Saccharomyces cerevisiae S288C: one gene and its partners. The protein of the gene in region 1 binds, or shares a complex with, the protein of each later gene. Each region holds a gene or a part of one and is shown on either strand. Other genes may lie near its edges. The genes, in order: RPN3, RPN8, RPN12 and SEM1. A codon is read from its position in the direction of its gene.

Region 1 (4,306 bases):
TAGTTTTATTCTCTAACTCATCACCTTCTAGTCGAATACTAGTATCTGCTTTTCCTGCAGATTCAGGTACGGGTTCATCAGACGTTGGTGAATGAAGGCTAGAGTTTGGATTAGAACTTAGTGCCAATGTAATTAAGTTCGGGTCCAATGCCAATTTAATGCCAGTTTCGGAACTTAAGTGATTTGAATCTGGATCTTCCGTTGTCATTATGGCTTTTAAGCTGCTTACAATTTTTTTGGCTCTATCTCTTTTGCCTTTGAAAAGTAAATAATGCTTTACGTTCAGTTATTTTTTCTGCAGTTCTACTTTTTCAAAGGGCTGCAGTGCACAAGAGAAAACAACTTTTCCTCACTTTTCTTCCCCGTCTATGAATGTAGAAAGTAACACACTTTGATATCAATAAGTATATATATATATATATATATACGTTTATGAGAACTTTATGTATATACGAATGAATTTCTGTTATGAATGGTAGTTATTTATTTTTTATGCGCCCTTATAAGAATCCCAAATCGTCGAGATCCGAGATATCAGACATGTCATCCATCAAATCACCATCTAGCGTATCATCATCATTTTCACCATTTTCACTTTTCTCATTTTGTTGAGTCTTTTTATCCTCAGGGTACCTCATTGAAACAAGGTATTCATCATGTAATTGGTTGGCAAATTTGATTCTTTCATCAAATACTTGCTGAGGATCTTCACTATCATAAATGTTTAGTAATTCTGTGGTTTCGATAAAGCCATCCTCGTGATTAATCTTGGCTTCAATAACACCATCTCTAATAGCCCTTGAAACCATGTATTCTACAGTTTGCTCCGAATCCAAATTCAGTTTCAAACAAATATCTCTTAATGAAATTTTTTTATACGTTAAGGAGATGATCCTGATACCTGTCTTGATAACATTAGATCTTAATCTAACACAGAGTTGATAGGTGTCATCCTTCAATAGCAACTGCTTATACTTTGTGATTGTAGATGTGAATTTTTTCAAGTCACCTAATTTAACGGCTTTGGTCAAATGGTAATAAGGAAGGAGAGATTTCTGCATATTTGATTGATGGAAAAATGATAATTCTGGAATATCACCCATGAGTAATTGAATACAACAATGCAGTTTGTTTGATTGCTGTAAGAACCCTAAACTCTTGGAATTATGTGGGGCTTTTCTTATGGCTGCAATAATGTACTCGTTCGCAGTGGAATAATCCAGTTGAATGGCGTTAATTTTCGATAAATAGAAGAAATATCTTGCCTCCAATGAACTGGAAACGTCTGTGTGAGGATATTCTAGTTTAGAAATGAAATCAGACGCGCTATCAACCTCGCCATTATTCAAAAAATCTCTCAAGATCAAGTTAATCAGCATGGCTTTGGTTTCGTTGTCGTGCTTCAGGGAAGCGATTTTCAAAAACTTCATCATCGTGGACCTTAAGATTATATTTTGGTTGTCGCTGTTAATCTCCTCGGAGCTGCGCGCTAACGTTTCATGACTCAAGTAGATGTAGAACCATAACTTAGCGTTGATTAAATTCAAGGAACGCAAATTGTAATAACACAATAAATTTGGGATAACAACCTTCCTATTAAACTCTACCAATTGTTCTAATTCTTTACTGTCCCATAAAAACAACTGGACTAGTAGATGCATGAAGCAATTAATTTCAGCTGTCACTTCAATGGTCTTTTTCTCAGTGTTTACGGAATAAAAAGAGGCTGGATATGAGTTTCTAAGCTCAGCTGACCCCGGTACGGACGATTTATGGTTAGAAGTAATGAACTTCAGCAGATTCTTCTTGAATGAAGAAGAATCAGGGTACAGCACATTCACTGTGAAACATAAAGTTTCCGCATTCAAAAGCTCCTGGTTCCTTAAAGAGCTCAAGTCCTTTAAACTCCTCCATATATATCTTGGGTCCAGCGTTAAAGTGGTCTTGGAGATCTCATTCAAAACTTTCAATAGTTCCTGAACCTGATCTTCTTCCGCATATTTCTTCTCAGAATGGTGCAAGTCATTGACCCCGGAAGAATCCACGTCCATCATTACTGCAGTGCTAGCCATTCTATTTGCTCAATTGAATTTTTTTTACTATACCCCCTTTCAAATTGTGTGATGAATGCCTTACCTACTGCTTTGTCTCTTTCTTGGGTGGCAAATGTTTTTCGTCCTCCTGCCTGAAAAGTGGAACTATTACCTCGTTGGAATGAAATTTTTGTTACCCGGGATAATAACTATAATGACTACAATAATATAGTGGTATAACGCTATAAATTAAAAAATAACGGTTGTGCTTAATACAGCACAAAACAGAAAAGTTATTCAAGTATCATGGTTGTGATTACTAGTACAATGGTCATGAGAAAACGTATTCGTATTTATTTAATTTTTTTTTTTTTTTTACCTTTTTTCCAGTTTCTTTTTTTATCTTTTTTAAAGGTGATAATAAAGGGGAGAAGAGGCATGCAGTTTTGTCTCTGTTTTAGCTGTGCATTCATTGTAACACTCCAGAGTCTTTCAATGTATTTTCCAAAATTGTTTCTTTGATGGCGGCAAATACTAATCTTATATTCGACGTGTCTGTGGCCTGTGTCACGTGAGGATATATGCTTAGATTCGCCCTGTTTAACTGAACAAACCTCCAGAGTATGTACTTAGCAGCCTTGTTGATGTCTGACCCGCCGGTGTAGTCTGGGAAGTAATTTTCCATAGGCACTTTGCTTAGTTTTTCAGCAAAAAGGTCGATTTTATTCAGAAAGAGTACGACAGACGTGCGCGCGAACCATCTACTGTTGACAATATTATCGAAAAGCACCAGCGATTCCTGAAACCTGTTCTGGTTCTTGTCCTCCATCAGCGTCTGGTCGTACTCCGATAGAGAAACGCAAAATATGACCAGAGTGACATTGTCGAAGCAGTGTATCCATTTTTTTCTTTCGGAACGCTGTCCACCCACGTCGTAAATATGCATCTTGATATCCGACCCCATATCAATGACGGTGTCAAAAATCCCTGACGTCATCTGTCTCGATCTTAATATGTCCTGCTGGGTGGGTCTGTAATTGGGCGAAGTGATCCTGGTGAAATTTTCCATGAAGTAAGGAGTCGAGTCCATTAGATAGAACTTCGATGCGTTAGGCCCATTGACTAAATCTTGTGTTGAGGGCAAGGCCCACAACGTAGATATTACGCCCGCGATATCTTCCGGGAATTGGCCCGTGTAGTTATTGGGCATTTCATAGGACATGGTTCTCGACAGGTCTTGTTGCGTCAGTTCACACTCCGGTTCCAAGTTGACGTTAAACCTTGTTCTCGCCTGGATGAGGTTCCTGCCAATTTCCAATAGATTCTGATAGATCAAGGGGATGTACTCTTTAATTTCCTGCTCGCTAAACCCGTTCTGGTGTAAAATCTTCAACTGCTGCAATACCGTGGACTTACCACTTTCACCGGCACCCAGCAGTAGCACTTTCAGTTCTTTGTCGTTGCTGCCACTTGAAGCGTCCGACAATGATGGTTGTGCTGCAACGTTACTCGACCTGTCTCTCAGGGCAGAGTCGATATTGATCTGTTGCGATCCGCTTGTATTTGCCGTAGCCGTGGGAGATATCGCGTTATTAATGCTCCCGTTTTGCTCCTTGCGGTCCTTAACATTATGCGGAGACGGCTGCTGCTGCCTCTGTTGTTGCTTTTCTTGTTGATTTGCTGTGTTGACTGTTCTCACAGTCTTCTGTGGCTCCTGCTTTGGTGGTACCTTCGCTTTGCCAACGTTGTCACTACCAGCGCTGGCGGTCTGCGTGTCAGGAGTGCTGCCGTTCTTTTCTGAAGATGCGCAGAGACCCATGATATTTGCTTGAAAATACGCGTGATTTGTGCTGTAACAATAAGGCTCGCTGTGATAGCAATTGCTCACTTTTATACCTATCGATTGCTCTTTGGGTAGTGAGAACCAAACCTACCTAAAGTTTTTCCACCCCTTCAGTCTAAGGCTGCACGCACGCGCCTATAAATCCTGCTGCTTATTAACTTTTTTTTTCGGTGCAGTATGCAAGAGGATAAGAAGAATCATTTGGGCGCAGCTGAGGGGGCTTGAACATGATGAAGTAAGGGAAGAAGAAATCGCGAACGAGGCAGTAGTCATGTTTTGTGACTGAATTGGCGGACTTCATTTTACTCCAGACATTTACTTAATGTGGAGCACGCCGGGCGCAGGGATCGTAATATATGGTATATCTTTAGTAATTATAAGTTTGATTCTGCCCCGGGTACCACGGGTTACCCGTTTCCTTAGCCTTTTG
Region 2 (4,983 bases), on another chromosome or scaffold:
ATCAATTTAGGAATAGGGATGATAATAACCTAGCAATGACTATCTACTATAAGAACTCTTTAGATAGTAGTATCGATAAAAAGCAACAGCAAAAGCAAAAACAACAGCAATTTTTCACTGTTTATTCAGAAAACGAAGACTCAGAGAGGCAGCCAATACTTTTGGACGTTTATTCTCAAAGGGACGTCACAAAGACAAAATATCTACAGATCAGATCTCATTTATTATGGAACTATCCAAATTTAACAGTATCCACTAAGTTACTGAACTCATTCATCTACTTTTGTTCCTTTGAACTTTGCCAGTTGTTAAAATTAGGACCTCAATCAATGTCAAGACAAGCTTCATTCAAAGATCCATTTACTGGAAACCAACAACAGCAAAACCCTCCTACTACTGATGATGATGAAGATCGCAATCATGATGATGACGATGATTACAAACCTTCGGCTACATCTATCCAGCCTACCTACTTCAAAAAAAAGAATGATCTCATCTTGGACCCAATAAACTGTAATAAATCATTGAGTAAGGTTTTTAGAGATTTATCTCGTCGTTCGTGGCAACATTCGAAACCGAGGGAACCAATAGGTATTTTTATTTTACCAAACGAAACCTTGTTCATCAGAGCCAATAACTTGAATGCTTACATGGACGCTAATAGATTTGTACTAAAGATAAAATCACAAACGATGTTCACGAAAAATATACAGATTCAATCTGCCGCTATCGGTGCTGATGCCATAGTAGATCCCAAATGCCAAATCTCTGCTCATAGTAATGTCAAGATGTCTGTTCTCGGTACTCAGGCCAATATTGGTTCCAGATGTCGTGTTGCAGGGTCTCTCTTATTTCCTGGAGTCCATCTTGGTGACGAAGTAATCCTGGAAAATTGTATTATTGGACCTATGGCAAAAATCGGTTCAAAGTGTAAACTCAGCAATTGTTATATCGAAGGCCATTATGTTGTGGAGCCTAAAAATAACTTTAAAGGTGAAACACTGGCCAACGTTTATTTGGATGAAGATGAGGAGGACGAGTTAATATATGATGATAGTGTTATTGCTGGAGAAAGTGAAATCGCCGAAGAAACTGACAGTGATGATAGAAGCGATGAAGATTCTGATGATAGTGAATATACCGACGAGTACGAGTACGAAGATGACGGATTATTTGAGCGTTAATATAAACTTATGTATATTCCTTCAGTCTCTTTAATAGAGACCAAGTAAGTAAGTGGACGAGAATAGAGGCGATATTATGCATTTATATTTGAAATTCAACAGAACATAATTATGCTTAAGCAAATTAACATGTTGTATTAATACATAGCGTTTTACACATCTATTTCATATATTATGTTATGTTAATTTTTGAATTAATTTTTCTTGTTCTTTCGTTGGATCAATGGCGCAGTTGCTTCTTTGTCACCACTCTCACTCTCACTGTCATCAGAGACTTTTGATTGTTTGTCCTTTACTCTTTGTTCTTGAATTTTTTTATTTTGAATTTTGTTTTCAATCAAATCATCAAACGCGATAATTGACCTAACCAAATTGCTTATATATATAACCATTAATTCATCATTAGTTTTCACAGTTAAAGCCTTTTGTAAGTTATTTGAAATATTAATTCTGTCATGATTCTCCACATCTATTTCGTCATCATCAGGTGTTCCCAGATTTGGTAAAAGGTTGAAAACATCTTGTAGCTTGCCCAATATAGTGTGGTTTATCGGTAATTCCTTATTAATGACTTTGTCTAAGTACTCGACAACGTCTTTTAGTTTGCTTTGTAATCCTTTCAAAGATTTTAATTGGTTGGTCAACCGGATAGATAAGCCACCTGCTGCTTGATCACGTACGTCTCTCAATAAGTGTTCTACACCAATTTCTTCAGCTTCTTCGGCCTCAATAGTACAAGGCAAATGAAGAAACGTCTTTTCTGTAGACGTACCATCATCCTTAACTTGCTCAATCGCGACATATGCATCTGTTGGTAAACCAACACCTTGTTGTTTGACATCAACAATTAATAATAGCGGATTATTCTGAGTATATTTTTTAAACAGCTCATTAATCTTGAGGTCAGAAGCCCTTAATTTAGGACCACTATGATACCATCCAATGAGTTTTTCCTTGGCATTAATCTTTTTACACATTTCATTCATGTTTTCAATATAATTATGGTCTAAAAACCACACGTCAGAGTTTTTCTCATCTTCTTCAAACGGTAAGGCAAAGGAATTAGTGACTCTGATAGTGGAACTGTTAGCATCACCTAAGATGACACCAACGCATCTTTTGTTTTCTTTTGTCTGCGTACGCTCATAATGATCCAAAGCAGATAGCAAAACTAGTGGTGCAATGGTAACTTTCTCGTGTTGTAGAGACATTGTAATTTGATTTTCCTTTCTTTCTTTCTTTTTTTAAATTCGAAAAATGCCCTCAATCAGTAGCAGTTGTACAGAAAGCCAACGTTACACTATAGATTGCTTAGCTGTTGGCTTCACAATTATTTCATTGTAGATTCTACGTTACGTGCAACTTGAGTAACGATTTGCCACTGAGGTATCCCCGAACTTTAGTAAAATCAAATTTCGTAATAAGTGATTAGGAATATTGCTACTTAAAGTAAGTGATGCTCATTGAAAGATTGCATTGTGAGTCTTCACTACTTACCGTAATAGAATGGTTTGTTTTCATTTGATTGTTGTTGTGTCAATAGTTTTGATTTTCTACTAGAGAGTACAATAATGCCCTTCGCTCAGATTGTTATTGGTCCACCAGGTTCAGGGAAGTCAACCTATTGCAACGGCTGCTCACAGTTCTTCAATGCCATCGGAAGACATTCCCAGGTAGTGAATATGGATCCTGCTAATGATGCCTTACCTTACCCATGCGCTGTGGATATTCGTGATTTTATAACATTAGAGGAGATCATGCAAGAGCAACAGTTAGGCCCTAATGGAGGTTTGATGTATGCTGTTGAATCATTGGATAATTCTATTGATTTGTTCATTTTACAGATCAAGTCACTTGTAGAAGAAGAAAAAGCATATCTTGTATTCGACTGTCCGGGCCAAGTGGAGCTATTTACTCATCACTCATCTTTGTTCAACATCTTTAAAAAAATGGAAAAGGAATTGGACATTAGGTTTTGTGTTGTAAATTTGATTGACTGTTTTTACATGACATCCCCTTCACAATATATCTCGATTTTGTTACTTGCATTGAGGTCTATGTTAATGATGGATCTCCCTCACATCAACGTTTTTTCTAAAATAGATATGCTGAAATCATACGGAGAATTACCCTTTAGATTAGACTATTATACAGAGGTCCAGGATCTGGATTATTTGGAGCCATATATTGAAAAGGAAGGCTCTAGTGTACTGGGAAAGAAATATAGCAAGTTAACTGAAACAATCAAAGAGCTAGTCTCAGATTTCAACTTAGTATCATTTGAGGTTTTGTCCGTGGATGACAAAGAAAGTATGATAAATCTTCAAGGTGTTATAGATAAAGCAAATGGCTACATATTCGGCGCATCCGAAGTTGGTGGTGATACCGTGTGGGCTGAGGCTTCGCGAGAAGGTGCATTAATAGCGAATTACGACATTCAAGACAGGTGGATAGACAATAAAGAGAAGTATGATAAAGAAGAAGAAGAAAAACGTACGGCGTTGTTAAAAGAACAAGAATTGCAAAATAAAGCTGTTGATGTGAATGAAGAAGATGAGTGGGAAAATGCGCTGAAGGAGTGGGAAGAGAAACAAGGAATGGATTTTGTTAGGTAGCGTGTTCAGGTATCTTTTTCTCGTTCAGCCGTGGAACTTAATTCAAAATTGAAAATTGTATACAGAGTATATATGCATATAATTGAAAGCAGCTTACTACGAAATGTTCTTGAATTGCTGGCCGAGTTGCAAATCAGCTGCAAAGGACAGAACCCTATGTCTGAACATGATTGCTTTCGTACCCTGAAAGCCAGCGCTACTAATTAACCAGGTTGACCAGCCTTCACTCATTCGCGGCGACAGCAAAAGCGGAAGAAGAAAAAAATAACCAGCAAACTGTCAATGGGTTTCTAGGAGGAAAAAGAACAAGTTAAAAATGATTAGCACCAACAACGTTGCCTATATCTGTCATTGGGCAGCTGTGCGGGGATTCTAAGGTTTTTGCGCAGATCGTGATATAAAATGTTGTAAAAATGGTTTGCTACTCTATATTGATGAAGTTTTCATATTCAAAAGGATTTATTAAATGAATGAACCATTTATAATTGTGAGGGCAGGATAGCAAAAAAATCCTACAGAATAACTTAGTAATGCCAAGAAAGTTTTTGGGCAATAAAATTGAAAAGAATGTTGATGCAGTCAGACCATCTTCGCTAACATTAACAGCTGATGACTTGAAGTATATTCCACCGATACCACAAGATTTTGAAGATGAAGATGATAAGGTTTTACGTACCAGCAACGGTGGTAACAGGTTGTCTAAAAGATTTGGGGGTACACTGAAACTGAAGAAACGGTTAGAGTCTGTTCCAGAATTGTTCTTACATGATTTCAAGAAGAGGCCACGCTCCCAACTTGAGGTGATTAGAGAGAAAAAATTTACTGACATGCAAGTTCCCAAGGGACCAGTTTGTCCTCAAAGCACGATTCTACCATTACGAGAAAGAAAGAAGGTAAAATCACTACCAATTCAAAGAAAAAGTTTACGTAGGCCGACGCTGTCAAAGCCTGCAGTAGTACAATCTTTAGGGCATAAGACACATTCGGATCATATTATTGATAAAGTGTTTGTCTCTCGCCCGGCCCCAATTGTAATGCCTGTAAAAGCCCTTACTCCTATTAATCCGGTCTCCCTAATGCAAACACAGACACAAGATTGCTGTAGAAAAAATAAGTATGGCAAAAGCGGTAGTGAAATATTGTTTGACGAAATTCTATCAGCCTATGAAAACGTTTCTACAAGC
Region 3 (4,660 bases), on another chromosome or scaffold:
TCCTGCTGCTTATCCCCTTTCTTAACTTAGCTGTACTTTACTATGTGGGTACGTATTTAAGGTGGCAAATTCTAAACCAAGAAGCTGGAACATCTTTAATAAAAAGGATTGACGGGTAACCCTAAAAGGAAAAATAATAAAGAATAAGAGTAAGTTAAACTATATATATAGAAGGACGAAAGAAAAGATACCTCGATTTTTATTTATTTAGTTTGTGTATATAACTTAAGTATTTTATATGTGAATGTAACGTACTATTGGACAAGATATTCATCTGATTTCAAAGAGGTGATGACGTCGTAAGGGAGCTCTTGATCGTGGTCATTGGCCATGACAACAGATTGTATGGCCATACCGGTGAAACTCTTAGCTAATTTATCCCTCGTGGACTCTTGGAAGGAAACGGTCATTGGGTACAATGCATCTTCATATGGAGCTTCGATAGTGAATGCTAGCGCACCTGCATCGTTGGCAGCAATTTTGCTAATCTTAATGGAGGTTCCCATTTCTTGGTCCATGTTGACAACTTCAGCGTCAGAGCATGTAGAAGACTCTGTATTTATGTCTACTGGCTCCTGAGGGAAAACTGGAATGGTGAAGATCACATCAGCGAGTTCTGTTTCCAGGACGCTCTCATACTCAATAATGACATCAAAGCCCTGTTGTGATTCGGAGGGGGAAACCCATGTAGTTAGAGTTAATGGAATTAATGAGTCATCTTCTGCGGGAGCGACTTTACGCCATCTTAGAACACCCAGGCTTTGGTCGTTGGCTGGGAAAGCCTTAGATTTATCACGCAGGGAGATAAGTTTAGTGGATAGGAACGATTGTTTATCTATGTTTGGATGGGTCTTAAACTGGAAGGATTTATCGCGAACGTCAATAGAATCAGCTAGTTTTAGGTTCGAGTGAGATAAGTCATGGTCATTAATTCTTAGTTCTAAAACACCTTTCAATTCAGAAGAGTGAATGGTACCATCTCTGGAGAATTCTGCATTGATTACCTCCTTGATAGAGATCAAAATACCATTGTTCTCTGGGACATCCTCCTCCGGAGGAGGTGGAGTGCCAGAAGAGGCTGAAGAAATTGCACTTGGCCGTGGTGCGGCACCCGCTCTTCTTCCGGCACCACCACCCAATTTCATACCGCCAGTAGCAGAATGTCCCGCACGCTGAGACGTAGCCATTGGGGAGGCCACTGGGGCCACCTCAGCAGCAGCGGCATGGGAACTTTGTAGATAAGACTGTTGTGCTGCAGGAGAAGCATGGGAGTAGTAACTGTTGATGGCGTTTGTAACGTTAGGATCTTTACTTCCCATGAACCTATTGGCGCCGTCGTAATCGCCATTTGAAGACATAAACCCGTGTTTCCTTTCATGTTCTTTTCTAGCAATTTCCTTAGCACGGCGCTTCCTCTCCTCAGTAGCTTCGATCTCTTTATTACGCTCAATAATTTCCTGGATTCTTTCTTCGTGCGACTCCATAGACAAGTATGTTTGCACTTGAGTAAAGGACAAGTTCTCTTTGTACCCGCCCATTGACACGATTTCGTCGAACGAGGACAAGATCTCAAAGGCATTGTGAAAAATCTCTTGGTCTTGGAAACTAGACAAGTAGGAGTTGATCGTCTGTGAAAACAGATTTAATGTGGCCAAATCCTTGATAATATTGGACTGGCGGTTTGTGATAAGAATAATGTAGTAGTTATCAAAGGGCCTATACACGTAGCGGACGTGCTTGTCCTCGACAAATGTGTGGTCTGACGAGATCTCGGAGACTAGGTTCTGGAAATTGGACAGCAACTCTAGGACTCGATCCTTGGACAGATCTTTGAATTGCCTGGACAAGAGAGGTTTCCCCTGACGCGTAGTGATAGAAGCAGCCAAAACCACCATTGTGTATTTCTTTTGATGGAGCTATAGGTATTCTAATATGATCTATATTCGACGCTGAGGCTAATTGCCCTTGTTCTTGAGGTGTCAACAACCAGATTTTCTAATTTTTCGCTGGCTGTTGCTGGAAAAATGTAAACGCGCAGGGCGGGTAATAATAAAAGTTGAACTATGAAGAACAATAGAAACGCCAAGGTTTACTGACAGAGACATGTTTTAATTCAAGTGATGAGGCGGAAACGTGCAAGATCCTAAATGAAGGATAAAAAGAGTTCTTAAAAAGGGAAGTAAGGAATAACAGAGTAGAAAAACCGAAAAGACAACTTAACAAATCGGCAACACTTTTATGGGGCCCCGCTCGCCTGTGTGCAAGTAGTATTCGACCTGGAACACGCATTTACCACGAGAAGACAGCAATAGTCCGTACAACATTAATTAGTTTCGACAATTGCTCGCCTTTATAAGCCATGCTAGTGCCCAATCAAACACTTTACTTGCCCTGAAGTTCCTTTTTTCGCTAGCCTGTAACTTAAATAAGCCATCTAACCTTTTTTTTCTAAAAATTTTCTTTATTACCCTGTCGGCTTATTTTCTATTCTACACATTATTTGCCACCCATTGAAATTGTAGCTTGTATTAATAGGGAAAAGCCGGAAGTATAACCGGTGGAAAGTACTATTGAAGTGAGATAAGAAGCCATCGTAATGCCCTCGTTAGCCGAATTGACCAAGTCGTTAAGCATAGCCTTTGAAAACGGCGATTATGCCGCGTGTGAGAAGCTCTTGCCCCCTATCAAGATCGAACTTATCAAGAATAACCTTTTAATACCTGACTTATCCATTCAAAATGACATCTATTTGAATGATTTGATGATTACTAAAAGGATCCTGGAAGTAGGTGCCCTTGCTAGCATCCAAACTTTCAATTTTGACAGCTTCGAGAATTACTTCAACCAATTGAAGCCTTACTACTTTAGCAACAATCATAAATTATCTGAATCTGACAAGAAATCGAAGCTGATAAGTCTGTATTTGTTGAACTTATTGTCTCAGAATAACACAACCAAGTTTCACTCGGAATTGCAGTATCTAGATAAACATATCAAGAACTTGGAAGACGATTCACTTTTGTCTTACCCTATCAAACTAGACAGATGGCTCATGGAAGGGTCGTACCAGAAAGCATGGGATCTTCTGCAATCTGGGTCGCAGAATATATCAGAATTCGACTCTTTTACCGATATCCTAAAATCAGCTATAAGAGACGAAATTGCTAAAAATACCGAGCTATCCTACGACTTTCTCCCTCTCTCCAACATAAAGGCTTTGCTCTTTTTCAACAACGAAAAAGAAACTGAAAAATTTGCACTAGAGAGAAACTGGCCTATTGTCAACTCGAAAGTTTACTTCAATAACCAATCAAAGGAGAAAGCTGATTACGAAGATGAAATGATGCATGAAGAAGACCAAAAGACAAACATTATCGAAAAAGCAATGGATTATGCCATAAGTATTGAAAATATTGTGTAATATTTGTATATATAATATGTGCACAAAATTACTACAAAATAAACAACTTTTTCTCTCCCGGAGAACAAAGTAAGTGGAAAAAATTATACTAATAACAATCTAAAAATGTTTATTAGCTAGGATTATACACATAAATATATATATATGTGTGTGTCTATATTTACATATACTAGACCGCAAAAAAAACATAAGGGCATCACTCATAAGAATAATAATATTAAGGGAGGGAAAAACACATTTATATTTCATTACATTTTTTTCATTAAGCGCCAATGATACCAAGAGACTTACCTTCGGCAATTCTTTTTTCGGACAATGCAGCAATAACAGCAGCACCTGCACCTGAACCATCCTCAGCTGGAACAATCGTAATTGGATCTTTGCTTGCGTCACCAGTCCATCCATAGATATCTCTCAAACCCTTAGCGGCGGCTTCCTTGAAACCTGGGTATTTGTTATAGACAGAACCGTCAGCGGCAATGTGACCAGTCTTGTAACCTCTCTTTTGGCAAATAGCGGCAATACCACAAACAGCTAATCTAGCAGCTCTGGTACCGATCAATTCACAAAGTCTTCTAATCAACTTACGTTCTGGCAGAGTGGTCTTGACACCAAAGTCCTTTTGGAAGATGTCATCAGTATCTTCCAAGTTTTCAAATGGATCATCCTCGATTCTTGCTGGGTAGGAGGTATCCATGATGTATGGTTGTTTCAACTTGCTTAGATCTTGATCCTTCAACATCAAGCCCTTCTCGTTTAATTCAAGTAACACTAGACGCAACAATTCACCCAAGTAGTAACCGGAGGTCATCTTTTCAAAAGCTTGTTGACCAGGTCTTGGAGATTGTTCGTCGACAGCAACATCGTACTTGGTTCTTGGCAAGACCAAATGTTCATTATCGAAGGAACCATATTCACAATTGATAGCCATTGGAGAGTTACTTGGAATATCGTCTGCTAATTTGCCCTCCAACTTTTCGATATCGGAAACAACATCATAGAAAGCACCGTTGACACCAGTACCGAAAATCACACCCATCTTAGTCTCTGGGTCAGTGTAGTATGAGGCAATTAAAGTACCAACAGTATCATTAATCAATGCTACAATTTCAATAGGCAACTCTCTCTTGGAAATTTCGTTTTGTAGCAATGGGACGACATCGTGGCCTTCGACATTTGGAATATCGAAACCCTTGGTCCATCTTTGCAAAATACCTTCGTTAATCTTGTTTTGGGAAG
Region 4 (3,898 bases), on another chromosome or scaffold:
TCTTACCTAAAACTGGACACTTAATTCTCTCTGGTGGTAATGATCATACTATAAAAATTTGGGATTTCTACCATGACTATGAATGCCTACGAGATTTTCAAGGTCATAACAAGCCTATTAAAGCATTACGATTCACCGAAGACTGTCAATCTTTTTTGAGCTCTTCCTTTGATAGAAGCGTTAAAATTTGGGATACTGAAACTGGTAAAGTGAAAACCAGGTTGCACCTTAATTCAACGCCTGCAGATGTTGAATCTCGGCCCACTAACCCACATGAGTTCATTGTAGGTTTATCGAATTCGAAAATATTACATTATGATGATCGTGTTTCAGAAAATCAAGGTCTTGTGCAGACATATGATCATCACCTAAGTAGCATTCTGGCTCTCAAGTATTTTCCCGATGGTTCGAAGTTTATTTCTTCTTCAGAGGATAAGACGGTAAGAATTTGGGAAAATCAGATCAATGTACCAATAAAACAAATAAGTGACACGGCTCAACATTCTATGCCATTTTTAAATGTACATCCGTCTCAGAACTATTTCTGTGCACAAAGCATGGATAATAGAATATATTCTTTCAGTTTGAAACCCAAATATAAGAGGCATCCAAAAAAGATATTTAAAGGGCATTCATCTGCTGGTTATGGGATAAGCTTGGCTTTTTCTGGTGATGGTCGTTACATATGTTCAGGCGATTCAAAAAGCAGACTATTTACTTGGGATTGGAATACGTCGCGCTTATTAAATAACATCAAGATTCCAGGCAACAAGCCTATAACTCAAGTGGACTGGCATCCTCAAGAAACAAGTAAAGTCATTTGCAGCGGAGCGGCAGGTAAGATATATGTATGTGACTAGCTATTCACTCGGAATGTTACTTGAAACAAATTAAATGGTTACATGGATGTGATTTGTTACTTAATTGTTATTACGGATGATATTATTATGATAGTAAAAATGACAATAATAAAGAAACGATTGGGGTTACCTGAAATTGCAAGTACTAGTTCGAGGACACATTTGCATCATATGGTAGAAAGAGCGGATCTTAATATAGTTAATTTTTTAAACTGAGACTGCATTTAAAGAAATGAGAAATCTCAGCTGAGTTATTTAATACTTTGCGTGCATCATTATTATACTACAAGGCCATATAATCGACTACCGCATAGCCTTTCGTATCTCTTTTTATTATTTATTTTATCATCTAAGCAAAATATACTAGTATGACAACAATGTACTAAAGTAACATTAGACGTATAATTTCCTTTTGCGTTATTTAGAAATAATGTTATGTAGCCCCTCACTGATTTTCCCGTTTGTATCTATCCAATTCGGCCTTCAATTCATTGGTGAAATCGTCGTCAACTTCAACATCATCCCAGTTTTCTTCCCATATGTTTGTTTGCGTTACAGCATTGCTTTTTATTGTTTCACCATTGGCCCATGTGTCAATGGGGAAATCTTCAAATTCATCGTCTTCCTCTAGAGACTTCTTATTTATTTCCTCATTTTTTTTTTTTGTTAAATCTATTTTACTTTGGGCTTGTGCAGCAGCAACGTCCGTACTCATATTTTTGCGTATTTGTACTATTATTCGACTTTTATTGCCACTCTATTCACTTTATGCATAGGTAGGTTTCCATTAGGACTTTAAAAGGTAACGCCCACCACGTTCGCCACCCATAGCACTAGTTTCGTAAATAATGATAATATAATGGATCCGACAGAACTAAGAAGCTTTCAGCCCTTCAAAATCCCTACTAGTAGGTTACAAAGACATGAGGAAATGTTGATATAATTTTTATTGTTTTCTTTAGAAGGTTAGTTTTAAACACAAACCCGAAAAAAAATTTATAACATTTTGAATGTGTTATTAGCCCTGTAGGGGGCTCGAACCCCTAACCTTATGATTAAGAGTCATACGCGCTACCGATTGCGCCAACAAGGCTATTTATTTGTGACCTTTTAAAGGTTAAAAAGGGATAATACATATAATTTCTCAATATCAAGATGCATCATCATGTATTAAACTGAGAAATAAGTGAATTCTATGAATATTGAGATAGGGTTGGGATTGCATTGTTGGAAAACAATATTTGGTTATCAATTCTTGCTTTTCAACTTCTACTAAAAATGGTAACTGCTTGTCAATCTTTATGTCAACTTCTTAGGTTGTATATGATAGTTTACTAATAATATGAACGTTAGTCGGGTATATGATGGTTGATTCTTATTCCAACAATATCAAACACATCAGTAATTTTCAATCACTTTAAAATATATTGATATAAACCTTTTTTCCATATAAATGTATTCACATTTTTTGCATCCATGATCACTGTTGGTAAAGTACGCCCTATTTATAGAAATACGTAAATAAGGAGCAATCGATAAAGCATGTAGACCAATATAGTGTTGAGATATTTGTCGGATCCCATCTTGGTGTAAGTAATAGTACTATGTGTAACAATAGTGGGTGAAAGCCATTCTTGATGGTTTAGAGTTCAAAAAAGAAAATCAACAATTCTGCACAGTACCATATTTATTATTTTTCTTCGTTTTCACCTAATCACTCATTGATGCAGTTACACTACCAATTCTTGCCCTTCAAATCACCTTAAAGGATGATGGCTTGAATTTTATTTTCTGCTGATCTCGTAATTTATACAACCTTTTAGCGTTGATATCATAATATTATGATGAAACGAATTATTTTAATTGACTGCTGTAGCAACAATAGAGAAGTAGTTTACCTCTTGTTCCAAGAAAACTATAGCCGAGGAAATATCAAATTGTTTTGATAGTTGTTCTACGTTAGATGTACTATTCAAACCTAGCACGAAAAAGCTGAAGAGATTTTTGTATTCATTAGGCGATCAAATTTTTATAGAAAAGCGTTAACATGTTGAGTTAGAGATGGAAAAATTCCTTTATAATATTTCACGGAAGGTAGAAGAGGGTCAGCACCTACTTTTTGAACAGAGAATTACCCGAGTATGATTTAAACACAAAAGGTCTTATTCAATTATATTCAGAAAATATTTTACAAGTACCGCAAGCACCACCAACACACCCGCCGCCCATAGTAAATAATAATTGTGGCACGTAAAGAGCCGGAGTTCGGCCTTTTTTAGCAAATTGCGCTCAATCAATAATGACATCAACCATGTCTTCATCTTCCATATCCTGATCGGCTATACACTCATTCATGTCCAATTCATCATGATCAAAAAGTAATTTAACCCTCGTCTTTTGTGGTAACTGTTTCTGGATTCTGTAATATTCGGCAATTTTAGAAAATGGTGTTGAACGCCTAACATGGACATAGATTTTTTTGTTATCTTGACCCATGAGAGCGATTCTCATAACTTCTTCCATGCTACTACTATTTCCTGACAAAGAGCCACCCTCTTGCAGAAGTTTTGTATTCATAACTGTATCATTTTCTTTTATTTCTTGTGTTTCTTCTACGTTTTTTAATTCGGATTCAAACTCGCGATATTCGGACTCTTCTTGTTCATTTCTCTTTTTCTCTAACTTCCTTTCCATCTCCTGACGTTCTTTTATGAGTAAAGCAGCTTCTTCTTCCTTTAACTTTGATTCCAGTGTCGCTTCAAAGTTCTTTTCGTATTCTTTGGATACGATAGTAACATCGATATCAGAGACTTCATTTTCAAAATCCTGTGGGATATGTAGCGAATTACAAGTCATAAAAGTGAGTAATTTTGCATTGTTCCAATAAAGAGTAACATTCTCTACCTTGTATATATCTTTCATTACCTTCGGAATTTTATAGGACTTCATCAATCCGTCCAAAGCAGCAGGAAGTATTTTTGAAAATTCGTATTTTCCGAGGACCTTCACTTGGACCGCTTTATTTATAGTTCCTTCTA

The links.
Region 2: the proteins of RPN3 (region 1) and RPN8 are in contact, whole or in part, in a cryo-EM structure (PDB 5MPE), measured with the Saccharomyces cerevisiae proteins. Residues at the interface, in NP_010938.1 of Saccharomyces cerevisiae: Tyr452 (codon at 719), Asp453 (codon at 716), Ser454 (codon at 713), Glu455 (codon at 710), Gln458 (codon at 701), Phe461 (codon at 692), Arg464 (codon at 683), Ile465 (codon at 680), Ala468 (codon at 671), Asn469 (codon at 668), His472 (codon at 659), Tyr475 (codon at 650), Ser478 (codon at 641), Met479 (codon at 638), Arg480 (codon at 635), Pro482 (codon at 629), Glu483 (codon at 626), Lys486 (codon at 617), Thr487 (codon at 614), Asn490 (codon at 605), Glu491 (codon at 602), Lys492 (codon at 599); in NP_014904.3 of Saccharomyces cerevisiae: Val249 (codon at 1,651), Asn251 (codon at 1,645), His252 (codon at 1,642), Asp253 (codon at 1,639), Ile255 (codon at 1,633), Asn256 (codon at 1,630), Asn259 (codon at 1,621), Gln262 (codon at 1,612), Lys263 (codon at 1,609), Leu265 (codon at 1,603), Thr266 (codon at 1,600), Thr269 (codon at 1,591), Asn270 (codon at 1,588), Glu272 (codon at 1,582), Leu273 (codon at 1,579), Ile276 (codon at 1,570), Tyr277 (codon at 1,567), Asn280 (codon at 1,558), Arg283 (codon at 1,549), Ser284 (codon at 1,546), Ile286 (codon at 1,540), Ala287 (codon at 1,537), Asp289 (codon at 1,531), Asp290 (codon at 1,528), Glu293 (codon at 1,519).
Region 3: the proteins of RPN3 (region 1) and RPN12 are in contact, whole or in part, in a cryo-EM structure (PDB 3JCP), measured with the Saccharomyces cerevisiae proteins. Residues at the interface, in NP_010938.1 of Saccharomyces cerevisiae: Ser198 (codon at 1,481), Glu199 (codon at 1,478), Glu200 (codon at 1,475), Ile201 (codon at 1,472), Asn202 (codon at 1,469), Ser203 (codon at 1,466), Asp204 (codon at 1,463), Asn205 (codon at 1,460), Ile208 (codon at 1,451), Asn244 (codon at 1,343), Gly245 (codon at 1,340), Glu246 (codon at 1,337), Asp248 (codon at 1,331), Ile282 (codon at 1,229), Gln283 (codon at 1,226), Leu284 (codon at 1,223), Lys368 (codon at 971), Asp375 (codon at 950), Tyr377 (codon at 944), Val381 (codon at 932), Arg382 (codon at 929), Ser385 (codon at 920), Asn386 (codon at 917), Lys389 (codon at 908), Thr418 (codon at 821), Glu420 (codon at 815), Tyr421 (codon at 812), Met422 (codon at 809), Val423 (codon at 806), Ser424 (codon at 803); in NP_116710.1 of Saccharomyces cerevisiae: Asp43 (codon at 2,723), Leu44 (codon at 2,726), Ser45 (codon at 2,729), Ile46 (codon at 2,732), Ser91 (codon at 2,867), Asn92 (codon at 2,870), Asn93 (codon at 2,873), Leu96 (codon at 2,882), Thr119 (codon at 2,951), Thr120 (codon at 2,954), Lys121 (codon at 2,957), His123 (codon at 2,963), Ser124 (codon at 2,966), Glu125 (codon at 2,969), Gln127 (codon at 2,975), Tyr128 (codon at 2,978), Leu129 (codon at 2,981), Asp130 (codon at 2,984), His132 (codon at 2,990), Ile133 (codon at 2,993), Glu137 (codon at 3,005), Arg150 (codon at 3,044), Leu152 (codon at 3,050), Met153 (codon at 3,053), Glu154 (codon at 3,056), Gly155 (codon at 3,059), Ser156 (codon at 3,062), Tyr157 (codon at 3,065), Gln158 (codon at 3,068), Glu188 (codon at 3,158).
Region 4: the proteins of RPN3 (region 1) and SEM1 are in contact, whole or in part, in a cryo-EM structure (PDB 6FVW), measured with the Saccharomyces cerevisiae proteins. Residues at the interface, in NP_010938.1 of Saccharomyces cerevisiae: Arg51 (codon at 1,922), Tyr52 (codon at 1,919), Arg55 (codon at 1,910), Ser56 (codon at 1,907), Lys58 (codon at 1,901), Asp59 (codon at 1,898), Lys182 (codon at 1,529), Phe185 (codon at 1,520), Tyr186 (codon at 1,517), Leu189 (codon at 1,508), Glu192 (codon at 1,499), Thr193 (codon at 1,496), Arg196 (codon at 1,487), Asn235 (codon at 1,370), Leu236 (codon at 1,367), Arg239 (codon at 1,358), Asn243 (codon at 1,346), Ser265 (codon at 1,280), Ser266 (codon at 1,277), Ser267 (codon at 1,274), Ala270 (codon at 1,265), Arg271 (codon at 1,262), Phe274 (codon at 1,253), Tyr275 (codon at 1,250), Ile297 (codon at 1,184), Arg298 (codon at 1,181), Lys299 (codon at 1,178), Ala300 (codon at 1,175), Pro301 (codon at 1,172), His302 (codon at 1,169); in NP_010651.3 of Saccharomyces cerevisiae: Met1 (codon at 1,575), Ser2 (codon at 1,572), Thr3 (codon at 1,569), Asp4 (codon at 1,566), Val5 (codon at 1,563), Ala6 (codon at 1,560), Gln9 (codon at 1,551), Ala10 (codon at 1,548), Lys13 (codon at 1,539), Asp15 (codon at 1,533), Thr17 (codon at 1,527), Lys18 (codon at 1,524), Lys19 (codon at 1,521), Lys20 (codon at 1,518), Asn21 (codon at 1,515), Glu22 (codon at 1,512), Glu23 (codon at 1,509), Ile24 (codon at 1,506), Asn25 (codon at 1,503), Lys26 (codon at 1,500), Lys27 (codon at 1,497), Ser28 (codon at 1,494), Leu29 (codon at 1,491), Glu30 (codon at 1,488), Glu31 (codon at 1,485), Asp32 (codon at 1,482), Asp33 (codon at 1,479), Glu34 (codon at 1,476), Phe35 (codon at 1,473), Asp37 (codon at 1,467).

Annotation. Positions count from the first base shown.
Region 1 is NC_001137.3:194,714-199,019, reverse strand, and holds RPN3 (proteasome regulatory particle lid subunit RPN3), read right to left. Parts: upstream 2,073-4,306; coding exon 501-2,072; downstream 1-500. Other genes in the region: SRB4 (Srb4p), read right to left, coding at 1-208; GPA2 (guanine nucleotide-binding protein subunit alpha), read right to left, coding at 2,503-3,852. UniProt on the Saccharomyces cerevisiae protein: Acts as a regulatory subunit of the 26S proteasome which is involved in the ATP-dependent degradation of ubiquitinated proteins.
Region 2 is NC_001147.6:814,537-819,519, forward strand, and holds RPN8 (proteasome regulatory particle lid subunit RPN8), read right to left. Parts: upstream 2,396-4,983; coding exon 1,379-2,395; downstream 1-1,378. Other genes in the region: GCD1 (translation initiation factor eIF2B subunit gamma), read left to right, coding at 1-1,184; GTPase GPN2, read left to right, coding at 2,756-3,799; DSE3 (Dse3p), read left to right, coding at 4,330-4,983. UniProt on the Saccharomyces cerevisiae protein: Acts as a regulatory subunit of the 26S proteasome which is involved in the ATP-dependent degradation of ubiquitinated proteins.
Region 3 is NC_001138.5:249,909-254,568, forward strand, and holds RPN12 (proteasome regulatory particle lid subunit RPN12), read left to right. Parts: upstream 1-2,596; coding exon 2,597-3,421; downstream 3,422-4,660. Other genes in the region: RET2 (coatomer subunit delta), read right to left, coding at 255-1,895; HXK1 (hexokinase 1), read right to left, coding at 3,684-4,660. UniProt on the Saccharomyces cerevisiae protein: Acts as a regulatory subunit of the 26S proteasome which is involved in the ATP-dependent degradation of ubiquitinated proteins. Necessary for activation of the CDC28 kinase.
Region 4 is NC_001136.10:1,199,805-1,203,702, reverse strand, and holds SEM1 (proteasome regulatory particle lid subunit SEM1), read right to left. Parts: upstream 1,576-3,898; coding exon 1,306-1,575; downstream 1-1,305. Other genes in the region: CDC40 (Cdc40p), read left to right, coding at 1-860; ESC2 (Esc2p), read right to left, coding at 3,150-3,898. UniProt on the Saccharomyces cerevisiae protein: Versatile protein that might stabilize multiple protein complexes involved in diverse pathways. Subunit of the 26S proteasome which plays a role in ubiquitin-dependent proteolysis.